4 linked regions of the Rhinolophus ferrumequinum genome follow. The protein of the gene in region 1 purifies or fractionates together with the protein of each later gene. This does not show direct contact. Links are inferred from orthologs where the notes say so. Each region holds a gene or a part of one and is shown in the gene's direction. Other genes may lie near its edges.

Region 1 (7,598 bases):
CTGAGAGGTGCCTGGGGGCGGTGGCCAGGGAAGGCAGTGGTTACGTGCTGGATGGTCTTGTATATGGAATGGAGGATGTTTAACCCGATTGAAGTGAAGGGGAGAAGTGGATTAAATTGGCATCTTAGAGGCCTAGAACCGGGTAATGGGCAGGAGGGGGTGTCTGGGGAACGGGACAACAGTGAGGAGACTCTTACAATAGTTTGGGGCGGAGTGTAGGATTGCAACAAGAGACGAGAGTAAGGGGCAGCTTGAAGACGGTATCAATCACTATCTTTGGTTTGTAGCAACAGAAATGGGTTCTGGTTAGCTTAAGTGGAAAGGGACTGTATTTGAAGACTATTGGGTAACCCACAGAATCAATGGAGAGACTGGAGAAGCAAGGTCTGGAAATGAGCAGGAACCAAAGGCAGCCAGGATGCCAGTGGTAGTGCCACCACTGGGAGCTCAGTGCCTCCGATCCTCTTAGTTCTCCAGTGGCCACTTCTGCTCTAGGTTATTTCTCCACTGCCCCTCCTGTCCCACAAAAAATCAGAGTCAAAATCAAAGCCACAGTGAGATACCACTTCACCTCCACTAGGATGGCTAAAGTAAAACTGACAGATAATAACAAGTATTAGTGAGGATGTGGGGAAATTGGCACCCTCATTCACTGGTGGTGAGAATGTAAAATGGTGCAGCCACCTTGGAACAGTCAGGTAGTTCCTCAAAAATGTTAAAGAGAGTCACCCTATGACCCAGCAATTCCACTCCTAGGTACGCTGGTGAGAGAAATGGAAACACACATCTTCATAAAAACCTGTATGCTAATGTTCATAGCAACGTTATTCACAACAGCCAAAAAGTGGAAACCACCCAGATGTCAATGAATGAATGACTGACTGAATGAATGAATGAATGAACAAAATGTGGTAAATCCATAATAGAATTCTATTCATTCATCAAAAGGAATGAAGTATTAATACACACTACAACATGGATGAACCTTGAAATTATGCTAAGCAAAAGAAGTCAGAAACAAAAAGACTCATATTGTATGCTTTCTTTTATGTGAAATGTCCAGAATAGGCAAATCCATAGAGACAAAAAGTAGACTTGTGGTTGCCAGGGGCTGGGGCAAGGGGAGAGGAAGAGTGATTGCTAATAAGTAAAAGGTTTTTTTCTTGGATGATAAAAATGTTCTAAAATTGATTGTGGTGATGGTTTCACCACTCGGCGAATATACTAAACACCACTTTGAAAGGGTGAATTTTTAAGGTATTTTAATTATATTTCAATAAAGCTATTATTTTAAAAATTCGACTGCCTAGACCATCCACCAACTGGTTAAGTTGGGCCCCAGGCCCAGGACCTAACTCCGTGGGTGAACAGAGCTTCCGTAATGGGGTGAGGGTGGCTTCACCCCCAAAGGCTCACCCAGAACTAGGAAGGGTATTCAGACGCTGGGCAGCCAAAATGACTGCACATGTGGGAGTGAAGCTGCAGACACTTGGGCGGCCTTGAGATTCCTGACCTGAGAATTCGCCAAGCCTGTTTATGGACAGATTCCAGCTTTGCTCCAGGTCACTGGGTCATGACCAGACAGCCTGCGTTTAATTATTCATTGTTAGAAGAGTGTCTGGATTACACGTCTCACCTTTGAACACATTAGTTTCTCAAAGCACTTTATATATATATATATATATATATATATATATATATATACTATCTCTTTATTTTCATATGACCCCAAATGGCCCAACTTTTAGGCAAGCCAATGGCTGCACGGATGGGGATGCAAATTGCCAATCCACTGGTGTCTTGAGCTGGTGAGTTTTTATAGTTGTGGTTATAGTACTGCGAGGCAAATGGCAGTGTTTGGTTTAACAGAAAACTTTTTCTTTTTTTTCAAGGCCTCCCCAGTCTATTTGAAACTCACCATAAGGCTCACACGTTGGGGGAGACCTTCCCCACAACAATTGGGGATCCCGTTAGGCTCCATCAGTGGTATGCTGGTAAATGTTTACCAACCAGCTCCGAGTGGCGTTGGGGAAAGGGTCCTGATGTGTAGCATTTGCTGATTACCATAGTGTAAAAGCTCCCATTTTTGATTTCAGACTATCAATGTGAGGTCACTGAACACAAAGTAAAGAAGTGCAGGTCTGTCAGCCAGCTGCCCCATCACTGACCCTGTCCTCAGGGTACAGCAAACAAACCAGTCTTGCTCAATTGGGCAGCCTGTATTGGCATCACCTGGGTGGTCCAGGGACCCACAAGCCCAGAACTCGGTGGAGGTCGCCCTGGACTAGCAGTGCCCTCAGGAGCCTGGCAGAGCAAATGTAAAACGTCTCTCAGAGAAGGTAACTTCATCCTCGACCTCAAATTATCCCTATAAATACATGTTCAAATACAGTGTTCAGCATGGTCAGAGAGAACCAGGCAGATCACAAGGAAATAGGACACCATGAGCAAGAACTAGCAGAAACAGACCCTCAGATACTTCAAATATTAGAATGATCAGACACAGACGATAAAATAACTGTGCTTTGTTGAAAGAAAGAAGTTTTAAAATCTCTGCAGTGGTCAGGAAACCATAAAAAGCGACATGCCAGATTTATAAAGAACATTTGTAGAAAGCTTTACAGTTTAATCAGAAATCAGATACACAAATTCCTTCAGGGGCCATCTGGTAATAAATGAGTAAAAAGACCGGGTAACACACTGGTGATCTGGAGAGCTTTGTCTGAGGGGACACAGAAGTTCTCAGCTACAGCCGATTGTTGCCATGTGGTACTGGGGACCCAGTTTGTAGATATCTGGATTTCTTTTCATTGTGGTAAAATACCTATAACATAAAATTAAGCATTGTAAGCATTTTAAAGTGTACAATTCAGTGGCATTATGTATATCCACCATGTTGTGCAACCATCACCTCTCTAGTTCCAGAATTTTTTCATCACCCCAAAAGGAGACCCCATGTACCCATTAGCAGTCATTCCCCATTCGTATACCCCCCTTCCCGGCAACCACCAATCTATTTTCTGTCTCTCTGGATTTGCCTAGAGATCTCATGTAAGTGGAATCATACCGTATTTGTCCTTTCGTGAGTGGCTCCTTTCACTTAGTGTGTTTTCAAAGTTCATCCATGTTGTGGCAAGTGTCAGGACTTCATTCCTGCTTAACAGATACACGCATTTATCCATTCATCAGTCCATACTTGGATTTCTGATGTATCTTGCTATTTTAAATTCAAATATATATATATATATTTAAAAGTTCTGTGTGGCCCCCAAGCGCATGTCAGCTGACCTGACCCCGACAGTGTGAGACCTCTGTTTTAGGGCCTGCTGTTACATGTTTTCCCTTGTTCTCCTCAGAATGATTCTCTCAGTGTACCTTCATCTTTCACATTAGTAACTTGTGGTTCAGAATGGTAACAAGACATGACCAGGAAACGGTCTGCAGTGCAATCTCCCACTCCATTACCCTCATAGCTTCTCTACCCAAAACCAAAACCTCTGGGCAAGCTGCTTGGTTCTAGAGTGAGTGGGAGTCAGAGTTCTAGTAGCTATGGCTATGACCTTGAACTTCCTGCGATTCCGTTTCCCCACGTGTAAGATGACTGGTGTTGGGCTAGTTTATCTCCAATGCCCCAGGCTTGCTGACAGGGTCACTCCCACTTTCCCCAGCATCCATCTGGGTGTGAATTAGCTCTGGTCAAGTCTGGTTAGCTGCACCTGAATACAAACATGGGGCACCTGAGTTGTCCTGATACTTGTGGGTTCCTCCACAGAGCTGTCCTGGGGCTGGACGGGGAAGAAACAACGTGCAGAGCCGTCCCTGTAGGCCGGCCCGTCCATTTTACCTGCGCCAGGGTCATTTGTGCGGTCGCGGCATCTGCTCTGAGACTGGGACTTAAGTCGGGAGGGCCTTACATTTAAATCGTGGTTCTCCGACAAACCCAGCGCGGGCCCTTTATTTATGGTGAGGGCCACGATCTCCAGGGGCAAGCAGAGCCCCGGTTAAAATGCTGATCACTCTTGAACTTTCCCTGCCGAATGCTACTTAGTAAGCAAGGTCGCGAGTGGCACCTTTCCTCCGACCCCCGTTTTCCAAAGGATTCAGGAAAGGGAAGCGACGTCCTAGCTCGGGTGTCTCCACGGGGGCCAGCCGAGCTCCGTGTTTCTCAACTGTCTCCAAGAGCACTCGCGTCCCGAATCGTCGCCTTCAACTCCGCGAAGTCAAGAGCCCCGCAGGAAACTTGCATTACTGCACCGGCTGCCGCAAACCCGGGGCGGCGGACCGGCCGCCGGGCTGGCTCCCAAGGAACGCGCTCCCTCCGCGGCCGGCCCGACCTCCCCGGAGGACCCCGCGGCACCTGCGGCCTCCGGGTGAGTGTCCGTGCGCTCGCCCGCCCGCTGCCCCCTCCGCGTGCCGGGTCCGGGTCGCCGGGCGCCCCCGGTCGCGTCCCCGGGCTGGGTGGGAGGCTCGCGGCGCAGCCAGGCGGCGCCCGGAGGCCGCACTGCTGGCGGCTGCGGCGGCGCTGCTCCCCCTGCTCCGAGCAGCTGCCGCCCGGCGCTTGCGCACTGGGCCCGGGCGCGCGGCGGCCCCGGCTTTGTGTGTGTGTGTGTGTGTGTATGTGTGTGTGTGTGCGTGTGTGTGTGAGTGAGTGTGTGTGTATGTGTGTGTGTGTGTGTGTGTGTGAGCGTCTGTGTGTGTGAGTCTGTGTGTGTGAGTGAGCGGCGGGCGGGCGCGAGTGTGGCCGCCGCGGAGCGCGAGCAGGACCCGGCGGCGCGCTCGCAGCCTCTCTCTCCCCGCCAGAACCATGTCGGGCAGGTCGGTTCGAGCCGAGACCAGGAGCCGGGCCAAAGATGATATCAAGAGGGTCATGGCGGCTATTGAGAAAGTGCGCAAATGGTAAGCGGAGGCGCAGCTCGCCCCCTCGGCGCCGCGGCCGCCCGACCCCAGACCACATACAAAAAGCCGGCGGGCGCAGCGTCCCGGCCGCCCGCGGGCCCGGGAGTTGGAGAGGGCGGGCGGCGCGCGAGCCGGGTCACCTGCGCGAGGCGGGGGCCGCGGCCGCTGCCCAGGTGCGCTCGCGCCTGTCGCCCACCTGGCGCGGCGGCGGTGGCAGCCTGGAGGCGGGGGCGCCCCGAGCCGGGCGGCTGAGCGGCGGGCAGTCCCCGCCGCGGCGCTCGGCTCCCGGGAAGGGGGGCTCGGGGCCGGCCCCAGAAGCCATTTCGTTTTGTGCAAGTCACATGAAAGCGGCTTCCCGCGCGCCGGGGCCGCGATGCCGGCGGCGGAGGGGAGAGCGCGAGCTCCATTGTGCAGCGCGGAGCGGGCCGCCGCGGTCTCCGTCTCCTCCCCGCGCGCCCCGGGCGGCGCAGCGCCGGCCCCCGCGCCCTTGCCCGCGCCGGGCCTCCCGCCCTCGCTCCCTCCCCAGCCGGCTCGCTCGCTCGCTCCCCGCCTCCCAGGCCCGGCGCCCTCGAGTCTGCGGAGTTTGCAGAGCGCGAGCCGTTTAAATTTAGCGCTTTGGGCTGCCTGGAGCGAGGGCTGTTGGCGGGGAAGCAAGATGGGGGCGAGCGCGAGGAGGGGCGCCGCGGGGCCCGGGGCGCCGGGCACCCCCTGCACCCGCTCCAGCCGGCACCCGGGCGCGGGGCTCGGGCGAGCCAATGTTTTTGCCCAGAAACCGGTCCTGGGCCGCGCGTCTGCCTTTCCCAAACCAGCAGCTCGTGTTTGTTTTGCGGAGGGAGCCGTTGTTTTTGTTCTCTGCACGGGGGGTGGGGGGGTGGTGGGAAAGGGAGACTCCGGGTTGGCCGCGCGTGTTTCTCCAGCTCGAGCTAGTGTCCGGCGTGGCCTTATTGTAATTAATAGAACTGAATGTTTGCTTGGCCCCGGCGGGGTCTGACTCGGAGTCGCCCGAGGGCCAGGCCCGAGACGCAGCACATCGCCAGGTTGGGGCAGACTTGTTGAAAACTCCCAGCTCCCTGATTTCAACTTTATTATTTTTTTTTCCCACGGCTTCACCAGGGTCAGGGAGGGAGAGGAGCAGCCGCGACGTGCTGGAGTGTCAGTGCCGGCGGGCTCGTCCTGACCCTTTATTTAAAGCCTGAAAACTGGGCAGGCCCCCCGTGGAGGACTATGTTTATGTTTAGGGGTGTCATTTCTTGAGTAACGCCTTGGTCTCTAAAAACCACAGGGGGCCAGGATCCAGTCTAGCCGTGTCACAAGTTAGTTGTCCTTTCTGAGTCAAACCCAACAAAAAAGGCAGGAGGAAAATCAATAAAGTCCACGTGCTCCCAGGCCTCCTATGGAAAGGGCTGTCTGCAGATGGCCGGATGCCCGGCCGAGGGCTGGGTTTGGCTCCAATGGGACAAAGAATTTTCAGAACCGTGAGAAGGGGAGACTTTCCAAAGTTGAAATCCAAGTCTTCCGTGCTGTGGGAGCTCCGCTAGTGCTCAGGGCACCCCGATTGGGACTGGACCCATTTAAAAATGGCAGAAACAGCTGCAGGCAAAACACACACCGGAAAACAAGTCCACAGCCCCCTCTCCTGTGGGATTTCCAGAGGGAAGGCTGGAGTTGTCCCCTATCTTAGCGCCTTTGTAAAGAGAAAAACTGGTGTCTGGGCCTGAGTCCCTTCTATCACAGGCCTGGAGGTGAGAAAGGCTGGGGACAAGCTGCTTTTTTCTGTTCCAGGAGGCATGGTGGGGCCTTCTGCCCCAGGTTCCCAGCCAGGCAGAGGCTCCTGCACCCTGACAGCTGCTCCTGTAGGGCCTGCCTGGCAGCTGCTCTGCAGGGAGGGCAGATGGAACTATGGGGTTTTCCACCCTGTGGGCCCCAGAGCAGCCTGCCTGGAGGCTTTGGATGCTGCTGAACCCACTGCAGGCCCAGCCTGTGTTTAGGGGAGGGGAGGAGTACTTATGTCCCTCCCTGCTTGTGTTTTGGGTAACAACCTGTCAAGTCCTGTAAAGACCTCAGGCTTGGGATCTCAAGGCTGGACTGGGCTTCCAGGTAACTTCCTTCCGTGACCTTGGGCAAACCATGGTACTTCTCCAACCATGGCAGCAAAGGGGTTCTGTGCTGCTTCCTTCCCCACTCCCCCACTAGAATAAGAGCGGGTCTCCAACAGCCCTTACCCCTGTACACTGGAGCAGTCATTAAATGTCTTCATTATAAGGTGGGCTCTGTCGAACTTGTATTTTGCTGATTTTTTTTCTTTTTTTCCTGCCTCTTCTAGGCAAAAACAAACAAACAAACAAAAAAAAAAAACCTGCCTTATATCTTGGGTTTCTCCGGCCTCCAGAAGCCAAATCTCACCTTCACTCTGCCTTTAGAAGGGGTCTTCCAGTCAGTCCTCCAGACGTTGGGTTGTTTATTAACTGCGTGGCCACCAACCATGCAGTTCACCGTTGGCTGGGATGCTGGGTTGCCAGATTTAGCAAATAAAATGACAGGATACCAAGTTAAATTTGAATTTTAGGTAAACAACAAAATAATTTTTAAAATAGGTGTTTTTGTTTTTGTTTTTTAAATATAAGTATGTCCCATGCAATATTTGGGACATGCTTATACTGAAAAAAAATTACTCATTGTGTATCTGAAATTCAAATTTATTT
Region 2 (7,927 bases), on another chromosome or scaffold:
TCCCCTTCTAAAGAGAAGCACTACATGTTATAGCTTACATATTGACCCAAACACATGCTGTTTCCTCTGCATAAATGTTTCCCCTCTTCTACCTGGCAGACTTCTATTCATTTCAAGGCCAGGTTCAAGCATCGCTTTCTCTGAGGCAGCTTTCCCCCTCAATCTATTTGCCAGTCTTTCAAACCAGATTGTGGGCAGTTATTCCACTCTAATTCTTCCCCAAGCCTAGTACTGGCTTAACCCTCTTCCTTTCACTGACACCTCTAAAGAATGGGAAATTTTCTTTCTTAAGATATCCAAAACAATCATATTTACTCATCCATAATGAAACACTACGATATGGAACAACACAGTTTACCTTGTAAGCCCCATGGATACACCGACATTACATATCCGTTCTTGTTTTAAGCTATTGATGATGCTGCTTTTCCCCACATTTGGGAAACCTATAAATGGTATAATAAATCCACAGATACAAAAGGCATTAAGTGCTGGTAACGATAACATTTCCACTGCTTTATTTTATGCTTGCTTGATGTGTAGAGCAAGATCAGAGTTGAATCTGAGTGTCTTCACTTCATTACTAAGGTCAATCTTAGCAAACTCATTTCTTACACAAGTAATAAGAGCAGGAAAAGACGACTAAAATAAACCAAGAGATTTTAGAAGCCAACTTCCTACAGTGCACAGTTGGCAAAAAAACAGAATTAAGCAGCAATCACTTAAAATTTCTGTCTTTACATTGTTTGTATGTATTCGGTAAGGTGGGCAAGAAGTTAGTGTTTATGTTTAGCAACAACCCCATACACTCTTAACATGGAAAAGTTCTTGGAACTTTAAGACATAAAATGTGTTGAACTGTAACTCACCAATTACTCCAACCTGAATAGCTTTGCCCAACATCTCCCGAAAACCTCTAAGAAGCTTCCAAAGACCTTCTTTCCCAATGCAGACTTCACTTTTGAATGGAGCAGCTTTCCTCTTTACCATCACATTAAAAATGCAAGTAATTAGTTTAACCACTTCTGACAACCCATCATATAAAACTCGAAAATCTGGCTTCAGAGCCCAGCCATTAAAATCACATGCCTTTCAGATTACCTCTGGATGAAATCAGAGTTGGATCTTATAAGTTCTCATTTTTTTAATCAAGATTTTGTATACTCATCATATTTCAGCCATCCAAAAATCTGAAAGAAACACATCCCCCGCCACTGACAGTAAAGGGTACCTTGGTTATCTTCCGTTTGTCCTTCAGATTTGTTGAGGCTTTGAACACCACTGTTGGCAATTCCTTCTTCAAATAATTCAGCCAGTTCTCCAAATTTTCCTTTGGTACCAAATCTGATAGAGATTAGGAATAAGACACATGCTCCAATTTGGTCATTTTGTTGAGATGAATTTGCAAAACATGGTAAACTGCATTTCACTCTGGTTTGCCTTTTGTTTGTTTTCGCCCCCAAAAGGATTTAACTGGAAGATGGGGAGAGCACAAACTTCCAACCATATACCATCCTTATCTTAACAGTGTTCAATATTTACACCTCTGTATTTCTTCAATTCTCCTCTGTACTGCTCACCCTTTCAGGATTAAGTCAACCTCTAGATTATTACCCTACTAACCCTAGGGCTATGTTTCCAGAATTTACTCTCCAGTAGCAGCCATGTTTACTGACCCCAACAGTAATTTTAGATCCCATTGTTACTTTCTGCTTCACAGATCTCTGAGTTTTCCTATTCCTGCTGTTCAAACCGATACGTAACTATGCATTTTATCTAATAATTGTCACACAATCAACATTGTGCAGGTGTGGGGAATGACACACTATCATCACTTCCTATGTGAAATATATTACGCAGTAAGCTGAGTATAGAAGCTTACACTCTTAAATAAGGTGATAAGTACTGAATGGCAAAAGGAGAGCAGAAACCAGTGAAACCACACGTAGAAAACACCTCCACCCCACTGTCCAGCATTGTCTTTAGCAATAAGAAAGGAAATGCACTGGTTTTGGTGAGGTCAGAGTTGGATCTTATCAGTCTTCAGTGACAATCAGACTGTTCAGATGTTTTCCTCATACCTCACTAGTGCGTATGGAACACAAAGGGCATCCTTTTTGCTTACCTGATTTATTTAATACAAGTACCAACTTTTTCTGTCCACCCTGGACAATGGCCTCTTCTACCTGGGGACACCTGCAACCAAGAGGATCTCTGGCATCCAACACTTCCAGCACAACATCTGAGGCTTCAATCACCTGTCAATGTATAAATGATCAGAAGAGCAACCCTTGCTTTCAGAACACCCTCCACACAAGTATACTGAAATTATCCACTTTGCAACAATGTGATATGGAGAATGTCCGTTCATTTCTCCCAGGAAAGTAAAACACAGGTTTGTTCAGTAGCTTCTGGCCTCTCATTAAAGTAGATTTCAAAAGCGGAAACACCCCCACTGTCTGAATATATAATCTTCCCATCGTGAATTGGGTAGTCTGCTAAGCTCTTGTGGCTCTGCCAAGAGCTGATGAAAAGCATAGTCAAGTTCTATTTACAGGGGAGAATGAACTTGGAAAAACAGGTATGAAGGGTGGGAGTGCTGGGGAGCAACTACACCAAGACACCCTCTTGATCTACTTCACTTAGGTTTCAACAAAGTACTTTAGACTCTTATTTTCACACTGCTTACTCTAATGTATTTTCCTTTACTTTAAAAACCACTGTGCCACTTTAACACAATGTCACTTTAACACAAATACCACCTTTGTAAATCATGTTTATGGGGAACTGTTCTGTTGCAAAAGTTTAAAACCACAAGAATATTTCCTTCAGCTAACTGTAACAAAAAGGCCCTAAATAGGATAAGCCAATTTGCTGAAGGCTTCCTTCTAGCTCAAGTGAACTCTACTCCCAACTTTATAAGGTTGGTGCCAGGAAAAAGGAATGACTAGTCTTTTAAACCTCAGCACCCATTTTAGACACTGACCTAGACTAAGATACCTTTTTGAGTTCCTGACAATACAACTTCTTTGGATTCTGTTTGCCTGCCTTGGCTTTGTTCTTAGCGTTGCACTGCCCAAATTCCTAAAGGACAAAGACAAGGGGAAAAGAACACAGAATTAGAAATTCAGCAATTGTAACCTGTTTCTCCATTTTCCATGACTGATTAGGGAGGCCACAATGCCTGCCCTGTTATGTGCTTTTACTTCTACATCAGAACTCATCTCTCATTCACCAAGAGACCTAATCGTACCTCCTTCACAAGTTCCACATTAGATGGCTCAACATCAGAGTTAGTGTCAAGTTTTCTTTTCTTTTCCTGTTCTTTCTGCCTGTCAAGTTTCTGCTGCTGTTTTAGTTCTTCAAGCTGTGTCAAACCATAAGAGAAATGGGTGAGCCAAAGTGACTTGGTATTGTTATTTTACTATGAAAAAAAAAAAAAAAGTTGAGTATTTCAGCTAAGGTATCTTACCCGCTGTTTCCTTAGCTCTGCTTCCCGAAGAAGAGCCTCCTTAAAAGGAGCACTGTTTGGAACTCCTAGGTCTTTCCTAGATTTTTTGTGGCCCCGTTTCTTAGCCTCCTTCCTCAATTTTCGATGGTGTTCTCGAACCTATCATAATAAATTTGTCAGTTTACAAAAATGCTACACAAAATCCTTGTGAGAAACAAATCGGGCTGCAGTTTAGTTATACCTGTAAAATGACCCAGAAAAATGTAACTGTAATTGTATCATTCGGAGACACATATTTATGCATAAAACATCAAGAAAATGTCACCAGAAGTTTTTTGCAGAGGTGGTTAACATGTTGATCAAAATTATAGACTTTCTGATCAATGAATTACTGCTCTTTCCCACAACTGTACTCTTGATACCTAAGAGCTTGTGAGATAAGATCATAATAATCCAGGCCTCCTCCTGGAGAGGTGAGGCAGAAATCAGCATTATATCTGGTATAGCTCTCCCAGGCACAAGACTTACCTTTTTTTGGATCTTATACCGCTTATGGCAGGTCATGCGTTTACTTGCTTTCTTTAACTCTACACAGAAACACATCACAAAAAAATTAGACACACACGATCAGTTTGTTTAATTTTTGGTCACCTCCCTTTCGGTGTTAAGTAATTAATAAGCTCTTAAATGTAATTTAAGAATCTTGTGGGGTACATAAAATACACATGCCACTCAAATCCCTGAGAATTTGACTCAGACCCAGAGTAGAGCCCAACTTCCCTGCTCCCACTCTTCTCATTTTAGCCTGGGATCGTACTCAGGAATGTGAGACCCAAAACGACATCCACTTCCTTGTCAAACAACACGAATCACAACGCACGGGCGAACAGTGGATTTGAGAGGCGGTTCTCAGACCTCACTGGAGCCGGACTGAACGTGGCGCTGAAGGGAACAGGCTGAGCCCTAAACCTGGCTCAGACACTGTTTCCTCACGAAATTCTGGTCTGATCTCCACCTCTGGGGCCCAGTCCTCCTTCTCCATTATGGGCCCTGCGGTTAACGTGGCTCCTTCAAACACTCGGTTCTAACCAGAATCAGGGCGATGGCCGATGGCCTACCCGCAGATCCCCATTGCCACAGAGAACAAGCCGCAGAACAGCACCCTGATGGATTCGTCGACCATCAGAGGGAAAGGAGCCTCCCCGCCCGCTCCCCGACCACACTCACTCGGCCGCTTCATACTGGAGGTCGGAACCGCTGTGGCGGCAGAAGCAGTACCTACAACCTGCCTCCACCGAGGCCACGTGTGAACTGAGGCCACCGGCGAGCGTCACGCACTCACGCTGCCGCCGTAAAGCGCGCCGCCTCCGGCCCGCGTGCGCGCGCACGCAATGTCGCGCGGAGCCAGGTTTGCTTGGCGGCGCCAGGGCTGGGTTTGCGGCGGCACCGGGAGGGGTGAGGGCGGTGAGGGCGGCGGGTGTTGGAGTGTCGGCCGCGGCCGCGGACGGAGGAGCAATAGCAGCAGCCGTGGCGGCCACGGGGCGGGGCGCAGCGGTCGGGGACCGCGGCCGGGGCTGCAGGCGGCGGAGCGGCTGGGTAAGGCCGGGCCGGGGACGGGCGGGGCCGCCCCTCTTCGGCTGGCTGCCGGGCCTTTGTGTGGGCCCTAGCGGGCGGGAGCAGCGGCGGAGGCCCCGCCCCGGCCGTGGGGACGCGCCGGTCTGGCCGGGTGTACGAGGTGGGGCGGGGCACGGCGGCGGGCACCGAGACGGGCCCGGCAGCCGGGTGGCACCTGCCTGCCGGGACAAAGGCGCTCCGCGGCCCGGAAACGCCCCGCGCCCCTCTTTCCCGCCCCCGGCGGCTGGCCGAGTGCTCGTCGCGGGCAGCTTCAAAGCTGTCAGCGTTTTCCCTAGTGCCCCCTTACAAGTGACAGGTCGGGAAAGTGTTTTATTTCCTCCGCAGGTCAGGGCCTTCTTTTTTTGTTGTTTCTTGACAGTCCGGACACAAACTCTTCTAGTGATTTTGCGGGTTTTTTGGTACACTTCCTCGATGACTGTTTCAGACCGAGTATTTTTATCAATGGGACTTGTATTTGTAGTTGACGCTCGATATTTCTTATCTGCAACATCATAAAGAATCGAGGTTTTCAAACTGTACATTTCTTGTTTTTAATATTTTTCCATCTCTTAAAATATTTTATTGAGAGGGAAGCATAGTTTTGTTATTATAGGGTACATATTGGTGACGTAGAAGGGAAGCTTGGCAAAAACGTAGAAGAAATTCTGAAAAACAAGTGACAAATACACAGTATTATGGATATAGAAATTTTTACAATTACAGAAACGTGTTGGAGTAAAACATTTTTGTTAACTTATTCTCCAACAAACGAGGTCTCCTCAGAAAATGATTTTTAGGTTTTTTTTTTTTCCATTTAGAAGTGCACTCTTTCCCAAATATCAGAAGCAAATTGAACTCAATACAAGTAGTATAAGAAAGTAGTATAATTTTTGCTGTATTACTTGTTAACAGATTGCTTATATTTTAAAATCCAAAGGAAGATTAAAAAGCATCTTTTAGAGAAAGTTTTAAATTAAAACAGTAACAGATTTATGTGTGGATAAATGAAAGGGCCTTGACCACTTTCTTTGGCTTTGGGAGTGTACAGAAGACCTCAGGTATTAATATTGTACCCAAATTCCCAAGATTAGGAAGTTGTGATATATCCATATGGGGATGTTAGACAACTATCGAGCCATCAAATATCGTGTAGAAGAATGTTGACTTGGAAGAATCTTCCTTAAGTTAAAACAGGCTGCAAAATAATACATATGGTTTGTTAACGCTTGTGTTTAAAAAAAAAAAAAGAGCAACTAAGGCATAGAATAAATACTGAATGCTGTGAACGCCAAAGATAAGTGTGTTTTTTCCTCAGAGAAGTAGGATTATAAGTGATCGTTTTTTCTTTGAATCGTGTTTTCCACGACTTGTTTTAAGCATGTGTTTACAGTAATAAGTATCACTAGAAATACAGCGGAGTACTAAAAGTTTATAAACTGTCAAAATATACCGTTTGTCTATACTGAGTAAATACTTTCCCAGTTACACATTATGAAGTTATTCTTTAGTTTATCGTTGGTTGTCAGACTTTGGACATGTGAACATAATGCCATTTTAAAATTTGTTATCCAGCTTCAGAATCTATTTCTTTCCTCTTCATGGAAAAAGGATTGCTGACGGGATGCTCACAGGCTTTTTAAATTACACAAACTTTTTTCAATGTCCCATGTAAGTGCCCTTTTAATACCTTTATTAAAAACAAATTGATCACCCAAACTATACCAAATATTATTCTATAACCAGGGCTGCAAAATGAATAAAATTCTTTTCCTGTGCCCACGGAGCATGTACTCCGAAAGTTGAAACTTAACATTTTTGTTGTGCTTTGAAGTTCCAAAGTGATTTCACATACATTTCATTGTCATAACAATCCAAGGGAGATATGTACACTTTACTGTTCTCATATTAGAAATGAATAAACAGAGCTGCGGTTGTGACTCAAGCAACATCAAACAGATAATTAGAGGTGGAAAAACTGGGACTCTTGTCTTCTGGATTCAGGTCCTATTGCTCCTCCCACCCAACTGACCACATTTCCTGTCTTGCCAAACTTCCAAAATGTATTTTAAAATGTGTCCTTTGGTAAGGAGAACTGACTCCGGGTGGTGAGCACACAATGGCATTTATAGATGATGTAACACAGAATTGTACACCTGAAATCTATGTAATTTTACTAACAATTGTCACCCCAATAAATTAAAAAAAAAAGTGTCCTTTGGATAAAAAAAATATTTGAAAATTATCCTTAAGTTGCATCTTTTTCTTTACTTACCAAAGTAAATTAATGATTCAAGGAGTTTTGGATATTGTATGGTCTAAAGTATGCATACACCAATGATTTATATTTTTTTGTCACTTGATTTTCAGCGGATTATTTATAAAAGTAATTTTGACCTACCAAAATGGTTGAAGTTTTTTGTTTGTTTGTTTTGTTTTTAACCTCCCTAAACTTGTACGTGGTACCTTCCCAATGCTGATAGGACTTTTGGAAAGAAATGTCTTTCTCTGAATTTTTTTTTTTTTTTTGGCGGGGTGGAGTTTTCCATACTCTGCTCACATGAACCCATTCTCTGTTTGTTCCAGCTTGCCAACCCTTGGTGTCACATGTGAGCCTTCCACATGTGTTCGCTCTCCATTCCAGCTCTGTGATTGAACTCTGCTCTTACTGACTAGGGGGCATTTGGGCAGGCATGCTTCATTCCTGGAATTGACAGTCATTCCTTGTGAGTAAAGGGGAACTTCAGTGAGACCTCTTTAAGCACAAGTATTTGGTTTTAAAATGGAAGAAATATCAGGTACTTTTAATGCCTGAGCCTTTGCAGCAGTTTGTTTCATTGGCACAAGAAAACTGATACGCCTATT
Region 3 (7,650 bases), on another chromosome or scaffold:
ATTAGGACATTTGAAAATGACAACAGCAAAGCCTAGATAGGATGACCGCTATGCCTGGCTGATGGTACTGTAGGAACCACAGGGAGAAAAGCCAGTGAGCAGAAAAAGCAAGGTCAAGTCGTGTCAACATTTTTTTAGTTTAAATTGCTCTCAGAACAGAAACCCATGTATGTAGAGAAAGACCTTCCTCTTTGGATAGAAAACTGGAATAAAATAAAATTCCCAGTCTGGCTAGCGAGCACACAGGAGCCAAGTGCTGTAGTTGCCATGTTGAAAAAAAACTCATTACAAAGGGACTGAAAAACCACCTTTTCCTGCCAGTAAAGCTGCTTCTGTCACTTTATAAGTCGACGTGAATTAATATTGAGCTACCTGGGAAGCTGCTAGCTCCAGTCAGGGTGCTGCTGTGACTTCAGATGAGTGAGAGCAAGCAGTTGTGGCGAAAGGATGAAGATGTCCAGAGGAAGAGAAACTGGTAACAACTTCACTTTAAAGAAACTCTTGGAGATACTTTACAGCATTGAAAATGCAAAACAAAATGTTGGAAACTACCCAAGCTCAGAAAAAAAAGTATGACAACGTATCAAGATATAGAAAATATAAGTCATAGGATGGGCAGAAGGCAAGCACACTTCAAACTACTCTTGGAAAACTGTTTACAAAGAAAATAATTCTCAGTGTTTCTCATGTTCTAAATTGCAGTGTGCTCAGTACATGTAAGTTTCACAATCAAAAACATTCCATATACATTTATAATTGGCAGTAAGGGAGTTTGATGTTTTAACAAAAGTTTTTTTAAAGTCATAGAACAATTGCAATTTTTCTCTTTGATTCTTAAAATTGCTTTGCATGATTGTGGGTTCTGTGGTCATTCTTATAGTCCTGTGGCATCCGGCAAAGCTGGGACTCTAGCTTCTCAGTTCCTTGACTAACTCACGCTCAGTGACCTTTTCCTGTAGCTCACCTGGGTTCACCCTGTAGACCTTGTGATTATCAAAGTCAATTTGACCTCTGAACTTGCAATTCCAAGCAGGTTATTCTCATGCAATTATTTCCTGTCCTTCCTGCTCACCACTTGTAGTACCTGAAGACAGCCACTCTTCAATCTTATTGAAATCTCCAATTCATTACCTTCCCCCACTATTACTAGTCCTCTTCTTGTCCTTGGTCATCTCAGCTGTCATGGCCCATCAGTATAATCACTGCCTTACAAACACACTCCAGGTCCCTTTGCCTCTTTTCTTCACCTGGGAAAACCCCTTCCTGAATGGACCCTATTACCCACTTGACTAGCTTGAATTCAAGTAGCTAAACTTGACTGAGAACATTGGAAAACTAGACTGACTGGTTGCACTTTTAACTCATGACCCCAAACCTCCAGAGGGCAAACCACTTGGCATCCTGGAAACTGCTCTTCTACTGTCTACACCTTCTTTCTCCTCCAACTCTCTGTATCCCTCCTTCCCACTCGCTTTCAGCTGATGATCTCACCTCATACTTTATTAAGGAAAGAGAAAGTATCAGAGGAAAATCCTTCAGGTTTTCCACCAGCAAATCTCTAACCCTACTTCCATCTGCAGCCGCATTATGTGTCCCTTCTGTGCCGAGGGATGGACCAGCCCGCTCCCAGCAGCCGTGTCCTCTCTCTCCTGTCGCCATGACTCGCCCTCTTACTGAGTCATTCTTGTCGGCATGGTGCCTCCCATCTTCAAAACATGACCCACCCCTCTACCCTTTTTCTCTGCCATTACTCTTTGCAATCATACTGCTTCCTATACTCTGGCTACAGTCCCTAGCCTCCTATTGCTTCCTTAATTGACTTCAATCTAGTTTTGAAACTGCCACTCCACTGAAATAACCTTGAAGGAATTAAGGTTGCTCCTTATCCCCAAATTGCTAAACACAGCGGGCATTTCTCTGTCCCCTAACTCAACTTCTCAATTGACATAGTTGACCAGTCCCTCTTTTTGAAACACTAGCCTCGCAGCTTACGGTACTCAACTCTTAGTTTTCTTCCTTCTCTATTTCCATGTATGTCTCTGGATTTCTTGGTCTCTGGCCTTTTTCTCACCTGTATCTACATATTCTAAGTGGTCTCATACAGTTTTTTGCCTTTTTCTCTTTACCACTGTATTGCTAGTGCCTAACTCAGGGCCTAACTCGATAAATAGTAAGGTAGTATTTGATAAACAAATGAGTGAACACATGATTCTTTGTATTTCTATCACCTAACATACGGTAGTTCTTAGTTCATAGTTGGTTTCCATTAACTATTTGTGAAATAATTGAGTGGACATTATTCCAATCCTACAGATGAGGAAACAAGAGGGTCAGAGCATAAATAATGTATCCGTGATCACACAGCTAATCAGTGGCACAGCTGCCATTCAAACTAAAGTCTTATTTTCAAATCTTTGTTCTCGTCATTACATCATATTGCCTCCCTGCATATTTATCTCTAACTCCTAGACTCTGCCTTCATTTACCCTATTCTCAAGCCAAATTCAATGACTGATGTACCTGAATATGGCATGTGTCCTATTTTCCCAGCTCTCAGTCTTTTGGGGCTTGAGACCCTACTTCCAGTTCCAATTGTACATTTTCCTGTAGCTGTCCAACCAATCTCTTAGGATACTTTTCAAATTCCAAGTCAACCCTGACATCTTAATTTTTCTAGTTGCAAGTAAATTTTCTCCCACTTAAAGCTCCTTTTGTGTATTTGTATCCTATTCTTCCAGCATTGAAATACCTACAGGCAGCGATTGTAATCCACATAGTGACTCCTTAATGTTCTGCCTTGCCTTGGTGGAAAGGCCAAATTCGTAATTGTTGATTTGGAATGAAGAGTTTTAAATTTTATTTGAGCTAGAGACAGAATTCCCAAGGGAGAAGAGTAGAACCGAAAAACAATATATATATATATACATTAAATTCTCCAGAGAGTCTGACTGAGAGCCTTCATCAATTAAGAGAATTTGGAGAAAGATGCTGATTCTTGGCCGATCAAGACACTGAAGGGTCATTTTCTGTAGTGGACTCTTGGTAGTGAAATGGGGAATTGAGAAAGCAAAGTCTAGATTAGGAGCAGTCTGTGAGACTGAAGTTGTTGTCGATGCCATTTGTGACCGGGTGCAAGTGGGGTCAGGAAAGGGTGGGCTCAGAGAGTCAAAGTAGGCTGTTTGTGCTATGTCATGGGCTAGAAGTAATCCCTTTGTTTTATGTTTCCAAACTTGTCCGCTGAGTGTAAGCAAAAATAATGAACGAAAAGGAAGCCATATTGAGCTCTAAATCCAAGAACATTCTCTATTGTCCCGAAACAAGTCTTGTACTTTCTAAGATAATAAAGTGTCTGCTGAGGGATCAACTTTAACAAATTTCTGGCACCCTTGTCATCTTATCACAGCTGTCTGCCATGTGTTGAGGTTCAGTTCCTGAGTTTTTAAAAAATTTTGGTGAAGTTGTAGACCTGACGGGGTGAAGCCTAAGAACTAGGATTAGGAGTAAACTCAGTTCCAATAAAACAGCTCCAATTTTCTTGGTGCCTTTCATGGGCCTATCATGTACTATGCATGCCCCTTACAATAATCCCGGAGACTCGGGTTTTTCTCCCCTTAACAGGTGGGAAAAGAGGTTAAATGAGTTGCCAAGGCTGGAATAAGCACCGGTGCCAGAAACCAAACATCAGTGTGGTTCCCAAACGTCCTGTGGCCTCTGCAGCAGTGTCCCCTGGCCGGTTGCCTTAGGAAGCTCCCTGCAGCCTCCTCGGAGCCACTGTCGGTCCTCGGTCCTCTACGGCAGGCCGTCCTGTTGTCTGTCATGCGAGCGCAGAGTCACACGCACGCAAGCTGAATTTCAGCAGCTTCTGCGGTTACTGGCTTCGGCCGCACTGAGGTGGACGTGATCAACTTTTCAAATGGAACCGGCTGCGGACGTCATTGGGTTGTGCACATGCACGGCAGGTGGTTCTGAGCAGCACAGCCAGGCTGAAGCGGAGGACAAAGGCAGGCGGGGCGGCCGCTGGGCAGGGGGCCGCGAGGCAGTGGGCAGGGACCTCTCAGCCCGCGGGACCCAGCGCACCGCGACCCGGCGTGGAGTGGGGGTCAGGACGCGGGACCCCGGGGGAGGGGGACGGGACCCCCGGGCACCGGGAGGGCGGGCGGGGCGGGGCGCGCGGCGGGCGCGGTGGGAGGAGAGGGCTGACGTGGAGGGGCCGGGCCGGGGGCGCGGGGAGGGCGGGGCCGGGCCGGGGGCGCGGCGGGAGGTGGGGCGGCGGAGCGCGGGGCTGCGGCGGGCGGGCGGGCGGGCCTGGGTGGCCGCGGCCCGGGGCGCGCGGGCTGAGGGAGCGGCGCGGCGGCGGCGGCTGCGGGCTGCGGGCTGCGGGAGCGGCGGGCCGAGGGCCGCGGGGCGGCTGAGGGCGGCGGGCGCGGGGGCCTCGGCCGGGGCCGAGGGCGGCCGGGCGGGCGGGCGGGCGGGCGGCGCGCGGCGCTGGCGGCGGCCATGGCGGTGGCGGCGGCGCTGGCGGGCCGCGGGGCGCGCGGCGGCAGGGGCCGGCCCCCGGGCGGCGGGCGGGCGGAGGGGGCGGGGCCCGGGCGGCGGGCGGCCCGCGCGGCGGCGGCGGCAGCGGCGGCGGCGGCCGGGACGAGGCGGCGGCGACGGCGGAGGCGGCGGCGCGGGGCGCTCGGGCTGATGGCGGCGGCGGCCGGCCCCGGGACGGCGCTGTCCCCGCGGCCGTGCGACAGCGACCCGGCCACCCCGGGAGCGCAGTCCCCGAAGGTGAGGAGGCGGCCGCTGGGCGAGCGAGCGGGCGGGCTGGACGCGGGGCCGGGGCGGGGGCCTGGGAGGCGCGGAGGCCGCAGCCTCGGACAGCGGCCGGGCCCCCGGTGCGCAGCCGGGACGGCCGCGGCCTGTTCCGCTTCCGCATCCTCCGCGCGTCGCGGCTCGTTTATAACCGCCGAGCGGCCGCCGGGCCGCGGCGGACACGGAAGTCAGGGAACTGGGCCGTCCGTGGGCCCGACACGCCGCGGGCCCCGAGCGCGCCCCGGGAGTTGTGAGGAGCGGCGGGGAAACGCGGCCCCTGGACACTCGGCGTCCTGGCGACTCCGCGGCGGCCCGAGAAGACGCCGTACTTGGCGGCGTCCGGACGTAACCGGACTTGGTGTCCCGGAGGCGACGCCGAGTGGACGAGACCACCAGGGGCCGCGGGACGCCGTGCGGTGCTGCGTGCTGGGACCAAGTTTGTAGTTTGTGACACAGGTTGGAACGGAGGCGTAATTTTAAGAACCTCAAGCCTTAAGTTGTTGAAAAGTTGAAATTAGATCCTGGGAGAGGACATTTGCGATGGATCCACCTCTTTCCTGAAGGACCGTGTCGCCGGGACCCGGGAAGGGTTTCGCTGGCGGGAGCGAGGCCGCCCTGCCCCGCGGCGCCCGCGCCCCGCGGTGGAGCGACGAGCCTGAGCCGCGCGCGGCGCGCAGCCTTGGAGCGGCTGGAGCCCGTCCCGGCTGCGGCGCTCGGGCCTGAAGCACCGGTGTGGAGAGACACTTAGGGGTGGACCACCTGTGACTCAGGGGCAAATGTCTGACCTAGTCAGGTGGCAGTCCTCAGACGTGGACTTTAGTGTCCCCATTTCTTAGCCAAGGGAAATGTACTTAAACACGTGGACATAAAAATTCTTCAAGTGCTCAGAAGCAAGCAAAATAGCAACACGTGATACCCGGATGCTTAAAAGGCATCATGCCTGAAGTATTGAATATGAAATGGTTCAATTGTGATACTTACTGTTAAATGTACATTTTTGGAGAATATTTAGACAGTTCTCCACATCCGAGCTGGCTGCTTGCCTTAGGAATATACAGAGCTCTTCCCACTGAATGCTTATTTTATAAGAATCAAAAAGGAGAAGGAAAATATTCTGCATCTTTTACTTTTTGGGATAGAATCAGAGTAAATTCCTTACAGCTGGGCCATTGGAGACTTCTAAATTGTCGTCGTCATCATCATCATCATCATCGTCGTATTAACTAACTTTTATTGGGCTCTTAATTTTTTTCTGGATCTTGCTTTTAAGTGCTTCCCATCTAGTAACTAATTTAATCCTTGTATTAGCCAAGCAACACAGGCACTATTCTCTCCATTTGACAGGTAAGGAGTGGCTCAAAGAGCATAACCGCTCAGCTAATGAAGGGCAGGGCCCAGACCCAGGCAGCCCAGCTTTGGCATGCCTGACCGACATGCCTTACTTACTACCTCTTTATCTTCTTCTGCAGGATGGCTTTGCTTTTAATACTTAGCAAGAGGACCCTGGTATTTAACGAAATTGTATTAATCTTAGTAAGCTACATTACTTTGATTTAAAACAATGTAAGCCTTCTAGTCATTAAGCCTTAGCTAATATGTAAATATATCAATTTCCTAACATTTGATACTTCACTCATTTCCTTAATGATCCAATTTACAGCCTTGATATTATAATCCCATAATGCATAATGTCACTTAAAAAATTTTAAGCCTCTCCTTTTTTGGGGGGGAGGGTTTTGCTTGATGACTATATAGATTGATGACTCTTATTAGGGTATATTATTGCTAAATGTTTACAATGTAAGAAAAAAATGGAACAAGACTGGTAATCTGTTTTTAGTCCTTGTATGTCTTTTCACAGGGATATAAGTACCTAAAATAGCCAATTAGTATAAACCAGGTGTGAGTCAAGTGAAACAGGAAATGATCCCTCCATATATTTTGTTCTTACCTGAGGTAAGAAGGTTTGCTCTAATTTTAGAGTTGCCGCAATTTTATGTTTGTTTAAACTAGAAGGCATTTTAACCTTAAGTGAGAAAGCAAAAGTAGATTTAGATTTATAGGTTAATTGAGTTTTTTACTTGTATGGAAGACCAGTTTTTAGTTTTTTCCAGGTCTTGCCCATGCCACATTCTGGGCTTCCTTTTAATTTTAATGGAAAGTTAGCATTTATATAACCAGCTGTGCTTAGAAAGTCTTCAAGTGCGCCTTTTAGCAAGTCTGAGAAGATACGTTCTTTACATATTAATCTTTCTCTTATTATTTTTTGAATCCTTTTAACGTATAGGATGATAACGAAGATAATTCAAATGATGGGACCCAACCATCCAAAAGGAGGCGAATGGGTTCAGGAGATAGCTCTAGGAGTTGTGAAACTTCAAGTCAAGATCTGGGGTACTGTCGTTTTATTGCTTAATAACATTTTTTGTGGTATGTTTCTCTTCTCTGCATTAGCTCTCCACTCCCCTCCCCCTAGCTCTAGTAAAAGCAGGTATCAAAAATTGTAGAATGTTTTTTCTCACATTTTACAGTATGACACCAAAGTTTGTTTTGCTTTCCATGCAATTGAGTGTTTTTTTTTTTTTAAGTTTTGCATAAAATTCACTATTTTAACTGTTTTTAAATGTGTAGTTCGGTGGCTTTAATTCATTCGTAATGTTGTGTATACCATCAGCACCATCCATTTCCAAAACTTTGTTGCTACTGAAAACAGAAACTCCACAACCATTAAGCACTAAAAATTCCCATTTCCCTCTTCCCTCAGCCCTGGCAATCACCACTTTACTGTTTGTCATTATGAATTTGCCTATTCTAGGTACCTTGTATAAGTGGAGTCATACAATATTTGTCATT
Region 4 (7,348 bases), on another chromosome or scaffold:
CTCGGGCTCCGCTGCTCGCCCCTAGACTCCAGGTCCCGTCGTGCGCCGGGAGGCGCGGGGATTGGCCCAGCCCCGCCCCCGGCCCGCCCCGCTCCGCTCGCGCCGCAGCCCTAAGAATGAATGAAATCGTAGCGCGCTGGGCGGCCGAGCGGGCGGCGCAGGCCGGGCTGGGCCCGCGCGCGGCGGCAGCGGCGCCCCGGGCCGGAGGTGGCCCAGCCGAGCGGGCGATGGCCACCGCCATTCAGAACCCGCTCAAGTCGTGAGTGTCCCCGCTGTCCACGTCCCTCCACCCGCCCCGCCCTTCCCCCCGCCCTTGCTGGGGAAGGGGATGCACTGCGTTGATGGTAGTTGAATGCCCCCTCCGGAGCGCCCCCACACCCCTAAGGCGCCCGCCAACCCCTGTCTCCCCATGGAGTTGGGGGCGGGAACCCTTCTAGGGTCGCGGGGGCGCCTCTTCTTTGTCGCTGTCAGTGAAGGAATGTGGTGCGGGTTGGGGGATGGCAGAGGCCGTTTCCCCACCCAGAGTGGGGGTAGGGGCTTCCCTCTCCTCCTCCTCCATCTCTCCTGCTCCGTGTCTCTCGGGGCGCCGGGCCTTCCCCAGCGTGAGGCTGGGAGTACGCACGCCTGAGTCCAGACCTCAGTGTCTGGGGACTCCACCACCCTTGCCCCTCATTGAAACACCTTTCTCTCCTCTTCCCTGCCTCTTTTTCCCCGGACCTCGGTCCACGCGGCCGCAGGGTGGGAGCTGAGACGTCGGGGGTCCCTGTTGTCTCCTCTTTTTTCCTCCTGGGTCTTCAGGTCCTAGAAGCCCCGATGCCCCCGTCAGCTTAGACTGTGGAATCTCTCTCTCTTCCCCGCTCATACACATCTAACTCGAGCATCTCTCATCCCCTTGGGTACCAGATGCCTCGGGAGAAGGTGCTGGGAGCGCCTTTAGTCTCCGGGGATTCCCTCTCTCCCTGTTCGCGTTCCTTCCTCCGTGCGTTAGCTTCCTCCCTGGGCCCAGTGTCTGGGAACCCGGACACCTTCGTGCCTAGCTCCTTCCCATCTCTCCCCTCTCCTTGCCATCCTCATTCTTTCCATCTCTCTCTCCCTCTCTCTCTCTCTCCATCTCCATCTCCATCTCCATCTCTATTTCTTTCTCCCTTGTCGGGATCCCGTACACCCAGGTCCCAGCGCTCCCCACCCCCCTTCCCCTGGCGGTGACAGCGTGCTCGGAGTGACAGGCGCGCGGCCGCTCCCGCCCTCCCTCCCCTGCTGGCGAGCGCGCACTCCCTTCCCCCTTCTTCCCGGCTTGAGGGAGAAGACCAGGGGCAAGTGCCCGCGGCGCCGCACAAAGGGGCCGGGCGACCTCCCCCACCTTTCCCCCCGACCCGGTGCGCCTGCTGCCTTGACCTTGAGCAACATGTGCTGGGGGCTTGAGGAGAGGGGAGGGGCACGGGAGCACCCCCCACTCTAATGCCCCCAGTTGTTTCTGGTTTCTGGCGGGGAGAAGTTGGGAAAGGAGGGTGGCTGGTGGCTTTGCGGTGAGCAAAAGAGGACTTGGACAGCCGGTGTGGGGCTGGGGTCAGTGTGAGATGGTGTGTGATGGAGACACTTTTCTGCCTCCCTCTCATTCTAAGTCGTACTCACAGACAGATGTCTTCCTATGAGGACGCCATGCCCTCCAGCTGGCTGGGACTGGATTCCTGTGCCAGTTGGTGGATCTATCGGCATCCAGGCCTCTTCACTCTGACCCTGGCCTAGACCTCTAGGAGGAGGTGAGGGACAACCCATTGCAGGGACCTGGAGGCCAGAGTTAGCATTGGGGTGGAAGTGCCAGCACCCTTCCTTCTTTGCTCTCACTTTTCGAGGGTTCTGCAGAGGTGAGGATAGAGACTAGCTCCTGAAAGAATGTGCAAGTCTATTCCCCTTGGGAGTGGGAGGCTGGGGGTGCAGCCCTTAGGAATTCTGCCTGCCTGCATTCAAATCCCAGCTTGAGCCATGAATCCCCCCTCCCCCCACTTCAGTGTTACCATCTGTGTATTGGGGAATCATAACAGTTCTTATTACCTCTTGGGGCTGTTTGATCTTTGTAGAGCACTTAGTACAGAGCCTGACCCTGACTAAATGTAGTGATTAGTAGTAGTAGTGTCAATACTGATTTCATTTGTGGTCCAGTTTCCCACAGGGCATTGGGGGGTGGGGATAGGATTGTTTGGGCAGGGGAGAGAACTGGGAGTTCAAGTGTGGGAGAGGGGTCAGTGAAGGTGAGTGAAAGTGACTGACGGGGTAGGGAAAGGGAGGGAGACTCCTCTCTACCATGTTTCCCCGAAAATAAAAGCTAGCCGGACCATCAGCTCTAATGCGTCTTTTGGAGCAAAAATTAATATAAGACCCGGTCTTATTTTACTATGACTGGGTCAATATAATATAATATAATGTGATATAATATAATACTGGGTCTTATATTAATTTTTGCTCCAAAAGACGCATTACAGCTGATGGTCCGTCTAGGTCTTATTTTCAGGGAAACAGGGTAAGTGTCAGCCTGGGTCTGTGGGTGGACAAGGGCCTCCAGGAGGTGATGGAGTGTCTACACTCAGGCTCCAAAACGATGAGAGAGTTTGGGGGTGGGGCAGTAGTGAGCCAGGATTTCTGAGGCTAGGGACGTAGGGAGCAAGTGTTAGCGGGTGTGTTGAGGGATTGGAGGGTGGTGGTGGCAGGTGAGAGAGGAAGGTGGCAAGGGTACCCTCTGAGCTGAGCTGACAGGTCAGGGCCACGGCTTACTGTGGATGACGTATGGAATGGCTGTTATAGGGGCCTGGAGGCCATAGTGAGCATGCGGCTGCCACAATCCCTGACTTACTCCCCTTGCCACCTCCTTTGGGCCAGATGTGAAGCAGAGACCCCTCCCTCAAGGCCTTACCTCCTTGGGGGGTGATGGGGAGAGTGTGGAAGGGGTCTAAGACTAGAGGTGTTTGTGTGTATGGCTATGGGAGGCCTGAGGGGATCTCTCACCAGGGTTAGGTGAGGGAATCAAACAGAAGGGGTGAAGGCTGGTATGCCTCTTGTGTCTGCTGGAGAGCCCCCTGGTGGACAGGACGTTGGTAGGTGTTTTCATTTATGCGAGGCTCAAACCTGAACATAAAGTTTGGACTAGGAGTGCTGTGGGTGTGTGCATAGAGACTGAGCAAGTGTGTGTGACCGGGTGAATCAGCTCACTCTCTGGGTATCTCTTAGGGTGGAGTCAGTGTGGATGACAGTGGGAGAGTGGGAGAGAGAAGGTGGTAAGGCCCACTTGGGGATAGGCACCTGGGGGAGTGAATCCTTCCCTGTCACACCTTCAAACAGCCTGTTTTGGGAGGCTGTGGGGCATGTAACTTCACCTCTCTGTGCCTCAGAGTCCTCATCTGGAAAACGGGAGTAATAATATCATCACCCTGGAGGGTCATTAATCCCTGTAAAGCACTTAGAACTGTGCCCAGCACATGGTGGGTGTTCAGTATATTTATTCATTCATTCAACAAATATTTATTGGGCATTTACTATGTGCCAGGCATTATTCTTTCTAATGGTAACAATATCACCATTTTACATCTTAGTACATATCAGATCCTCTTTGTGGGATGAATGAATTTATTGAGCACCTACTACCTGCCAGGTACCTTTTAAAACACTTCACTTATGTCATATAATCCTTACAACATCCAATGAGGCACCACCCTCATTTTGCAGATGAGAAAACCGAGGCCCAGGAAGGTTAAATTATTTGCCCAAGGTCACATGGCTACCAAGTAGCAGAGCCAGTATTTGAACCTAGAGGAATATGGCTACAGCTCCTAACTAGCACTGCTGCTGTCAGGGCTGCGAAAGGTTTGAGTAGGGCAGGCGGGGGGTCTCTGTGAGAGTGGGACAGGATAGGGTTCTCCGGAGCTAGGAGTGACTGGAGGGTGGGGAGGGGGCGGTATTAGTGAGTCCAGCGTCTGCACGAGCCGCGGATGTTGGTGGGACGTTTGTGTAGGCATCTGTAAAATGTCTGAGTCTCCTGGCTCTGAAGTGTGTGTGTATGTGAGTGTGTGAGGTGTGGGAGTGGAGTGTGCTTGAGTGGGCAGCAGTGAGTATACATGTGAATATGTGTGTAAACTGCCGTGTGGGTGTGCGAGTCCGATGTGCGTGTACGCCGTGAGACCAGATGAGTGTATGAGTGAGCGTGTGTGAGTGACTGTGCGTGCTGCCCGGCCCCACCTCTGCACCCTCTTACCCGCGGGGTCCCGCGATCTCCCAGGCCTGGACTACGACTCCCAGAATGGCCCAGGCGGGCCCGCCCCGCCGCCGTGATTGGCTGTGGCCCTCTTGCTCCCGCCCCCCGGGAATGAATGGATGGGCGGCCTCCGCGCCCGCCCGTGCGCTGGGAGGACCGACCCGGCGGGGACCTGCTGGGGGCAGGACCCGGGGAGCAAGATGGCCACGGTCATCCCCGGCCCCCTGAGGTGCTGCAGGCAGGCGGCAGGCTGGGGAGGGCATGCGGGCGGGTCTGCGCGAGCGTGTGTGTGTGGCAGCTGGGGGTGGGGCCGATGGGTGTCTGGGGGGCTGTCACCGTGGGCCCGACTGCGCGGGGGTGCGAGTGTGTGACTATGGGTCTCTGACAAGAACGGGGTCCGATGCGCTGATCTTGGAGGAGCGGAGTGTGGGGGGAACTCAGAGTCCTCTTCGGGTCCTGTTCGAGGCAGGGGTCAGGTCCCACCCTGCGACTACCCGGGTTGGGGAGAGGGTGAAATGGCGGGGGGGTGGGCGGGCGGGGTGCGCGGACCTTGGTAAACTTGAGTGAAGCCCACACTACCTTTGTCTTGGGATGTGGAGTGTGTGTCACTTGTTTGTTTTCTGGTTTTTCTGGATATGTGCATGGAGATGTGTTTCATTTCTTTTATTCCACACTAGGTATTGGGTATTTGGGTCTTGGAGTGTGTGTACATGTCCTTTGAAACTGTGCATCATTTGTGTTCTGTGTCTTTGGATATGTAGGTATGCATCTATCTATGTGTAAATTTTTGTGTGAATATGGGTGGATTTGTCTGTTTTTATGTTGTATATGTGTGTGTCTTTGTGTGTTTGAATATATGGTATTTTAGATGTTGGCTTCTATATTGTGTATCTTTGTGAATGTGTGTATCCTGTGTGAATCTGATTTCTTTGTAGTGTGTGTGTGTATATGTGAGATTTGTCTGTGTTGTCTGTGGATATGTGTGTAAATGCATATGTGGGTAGTTTGTTTTAACATTTCTTTTAACATTTGTGTATGTGTGTTTGGATGCATAAGTGTATGTGTTTGGATGCATGAGTGTGTGTGTGTGTGTGTGTGGTGTGATCTGTTTGCATATTGTGTGTCTTTGTGTGGGTGATTTGTTTATGTTGTGTATCTTTGGATATGGGATGTGTATTTGTACATGGATATATGTGTGATCTGTCTGTTTCTATACTGTGTGACGGGATATTTGTGTTTTTCAGTAGATATGTGTGTGTGCACATATGTGAGACTTGTCTGTTTCTCCTTTGTGAGTCTTGGGATATGTTTCTCTTTGTGTGTGAATCCTATGTGATTATGTGTGATTTGTGTTGTGTGTTTGGATATGTGCATATATGGATAGGTCCCACTGTGTTTTTGTTTCTATATTGTGTATGGCTACTCGTTGGCTTACTTGAGTCTCAGGTGGGGGGTTCCTGGGTCCAGGAGCCAGGAGCGACCAGAAGGGACAGGTGAGGTTGGCAGAGTCGGCCCACCCGTTCCGGATGGCTGAGCCGGGGGAGGGGTACTGGGCGCCCTGGCGCGCCTGCCCTTGCTGACAGCAGCCCGCCCGCTCACTGCCTCTCATCGCGCCTCGCAGCCTAGGCGAGGACTTCTACCGCGAGGCCATCGAGCACTGCCGCAGCTACAACGCGCGCCTGTGCGCCGAGCGCAGCCTGCGCCTGCCTTTCCTCGACTCGCAGACTGGCGTGGCCCAGAACAACTGCTACATCTGGATGGAGAAGACCCACCGCGGGCCAGGTACCCGCCAGGAGGGCGGGGGCGGGGCGGGGCGGCGGCGTGGCAGCCGCGTTCTTACTGCTCTTCTCACCGCCCTGCTCACTCCAGGTTTGGCTCCAGGACAGATCTACACATACCCTGCCCGCTGTTGGAGAAAGAAACGGCGACTCAACATTCTGGAGGACCCCAGACTCCGGCCCTGCGAGTACAAGATCGGTGGGTGGAGCTGCCTGTGCCTGGGGGAGCCCCCATGAGTGTCCCCAGCACACTCTAAGTGTGTAGCGATGCCAGCGTGTGTCTGAGCATTCGCCTTATCTCCCTCCTAGAGAGTGTGTGAGTGGCTGGCTGTGTGTCTCCTGGTGTGTGCTTGGGTGTAGTCCAGAGTTTCCCGTCTTCCCTGAGTGACTGAGCTTGGGACGGTATGGTCTCCTATGTGGGCCCAGGTGTATTTGAGAGCGGACTGGTGTCTGTTATGTGTGTTTAAGTGTATCCAGTCTTTGTATCTCTTCCCTTGTGAGCTGGGATGTATCAGAGAGTCTGGCTCTGTTTCTTCCTGTGGGTGACCGAGTGTGTCTTGATGTGTTGGAGTGTCTGGGTATAACTCTTGCCATTGTAATAGAGTGTATCTAAGTGTCTGAGCCTCTTTCCAGGTGTTTCCAAGTGTATTAGAAGGTTTATTTTCTCGTGTGTGTTTGGTCTGTCAGGATATCTGGCTGTTCCTGAGTGTGTCTGGGTATAGCAGGGTGTCCGGGTGCCTCTTCTGTTGAGCGCCCAGATGCTTCGAACATCTGGGAGGTTATCTTCTCCTAGTGTCTGGTGTATTTCTGCTCATGTGTGTTGGTCCACCAGAGTGTCTGACCTTATCACTTCTTGAATGTGTCCAGTGCTATCAGAGTCACTGGCTATTTTTCTTCCCTTGTCCAGGTGTACCCAAGGTTCTGTGTGGGTCCAGGTGAATTAGAATGTCTACCTGGGTGTATCTGATTGCTTCAGAGGGACTGTGTGGATCTTCCCTGTGTATCCATCTGAGTGATTTTCTCTAGTTATGTCTATCTCCCCCATGTGTATCCAGGTGTATGGTAGGGTCTGGCTGTGTCTTCCCCATGTGGGTATGGCTGTCTGATGGTCAAACAGTCTCTTTCTGAGCATCCCTGGGTGTATCCAAGGGTCTGCATGAGTCTCCTCCACGTGTCTGGATGCATCTGAGTGGGTATGTCTCTTCCTTTGTCTGACTATCTCAGATGATCTGTCTGTATCTCCCGTGTGTATGTTCATGTGTATCCTGTTTGACTGTCTGTCTCTCTCCATATTCGTCCAGGTGTAAGTGAGGGTCTCGCTGAGGTA

The links.
Region 2: the proteins of BCL7A (region 1) and PBRM1 purify together in Homo sapiens (affinity purification with mass spectrometry; 3 studies listed by BioGRID and IntAct, counting the BioPlex papers as one, with this or other methods). This does not show direct contact. The link is inferred for Rhinolophus ferrumequinum from reciprocal best matches to the Homo sapiens genes BCL7A and PBRM1.
Region 3: the proteins of BCL7A (region 1) and PHF10 purify together in Homo sapiens (affinity purification with mass spectrometry; 3 studies listed by BioGRID and IntAct, counting the BioPlex papers as one, with this or other methods). This does not show direct contact. The link is inferred for Rhinolophus ferrumequinum from reciprocal best matches to the Homo sapiens genes BCL7A and PHF10.
Region 4: the proteins of BCL7A (region 1) and DPF1 purify together in Homo sapiens (affinity purification with mass spectrometry; 3 studies listed by BioGRID and IntAct, counting the BioPlex papers as one, with this or other methods). This does not show direct contact. The link is inferred for Rhinolophus ferrumequinum from reciprocal best matches to the Homo sapiens genes BCL7A and DPF1.

Annotation. Positions count from the first base shown.
Region 1 is NC_046308.1:5,321,046-5,328,643, reverse strand, and holds the start of BCL7A (B-cell CLL/lymphoma 7 protein family member A), read left to right. Parts: upstream 1-4,586; 5' UTR 4,587-4,804; coding exon 4,805-4,896; intron 4,897-7,598.
Region 2 is NC_046300.1:48,259,749-48,267,675, reverse strand, and holds the start of PBRM1 (protein polybromo-1), read left to right. Parts: upstream 1-4,926; 5' UTR 4,927-5,047; intron 5,048-7,646; exon of another isoform or gene 7,647-7,788; intron 7,789-7,927. Other genes in the region: GNL3 (guanine nucleotide-binding protein-like 3), read right to left, coding at 359-446, 870-987, 1,232-1,344, 2,126-2,258, 3,001-3,084, 3,254-3,367, 3,473-3,610, 3,980-4,038 and 1 more. UniProt on the Homo sapiens protein: Involved in transcriptional activation and repression of select genes by chromatin remodeling (alteration of DNA-nucleosome topology). Required for the stability of the SWI/SNF chromatin remodeling complex SWI/SNF-B (PBAF).
Region 3 is NW_022680354.1:2,535,771-2,543,420, reverse strand, and holds the start of PHF10 (PHD finger protein 10), read left to right. Parts: upstream 1-4,642; 5' UTR 4,643-4,686; coding exon 4,687-4,773; intron 4,774-5,503; exon of another isoform or gene 5,504-6,141; intron 6,142-7,084; coding exon 7,085-7,191; intron 7,192-7,650. UniProt on the Homo sapiens protein: Involved in transcription activity regulation by chromatin remodeling. Belongs to the neural progenitors-specific chromatin remodeling complex (npBAF complex) and is required for the proliferation of neural progenitors.
Region 4 is NC_046298.1:37,699,838-37,707,185, reverse strand, and holds the start of DPF1 (zinc finger protein neuro-d4), read left to right. Parts: upstream 1-4,342; 5' UTR 4,343-4,362; coding exon 4,363-4,472; intron 4,473-5,864; coding exon 5,865-6,025; intron 6,026-6,112; coding exon 6,113-6,220; intron 6,221-7,348. UniProt on the Homo sapiens protein: May have an important role in developing neurons by participating in regulation of cell survival, possibly as a neurospecific transcription factor. Belongs to the neuron-specific chromatin remodeling complex (nBAF complex).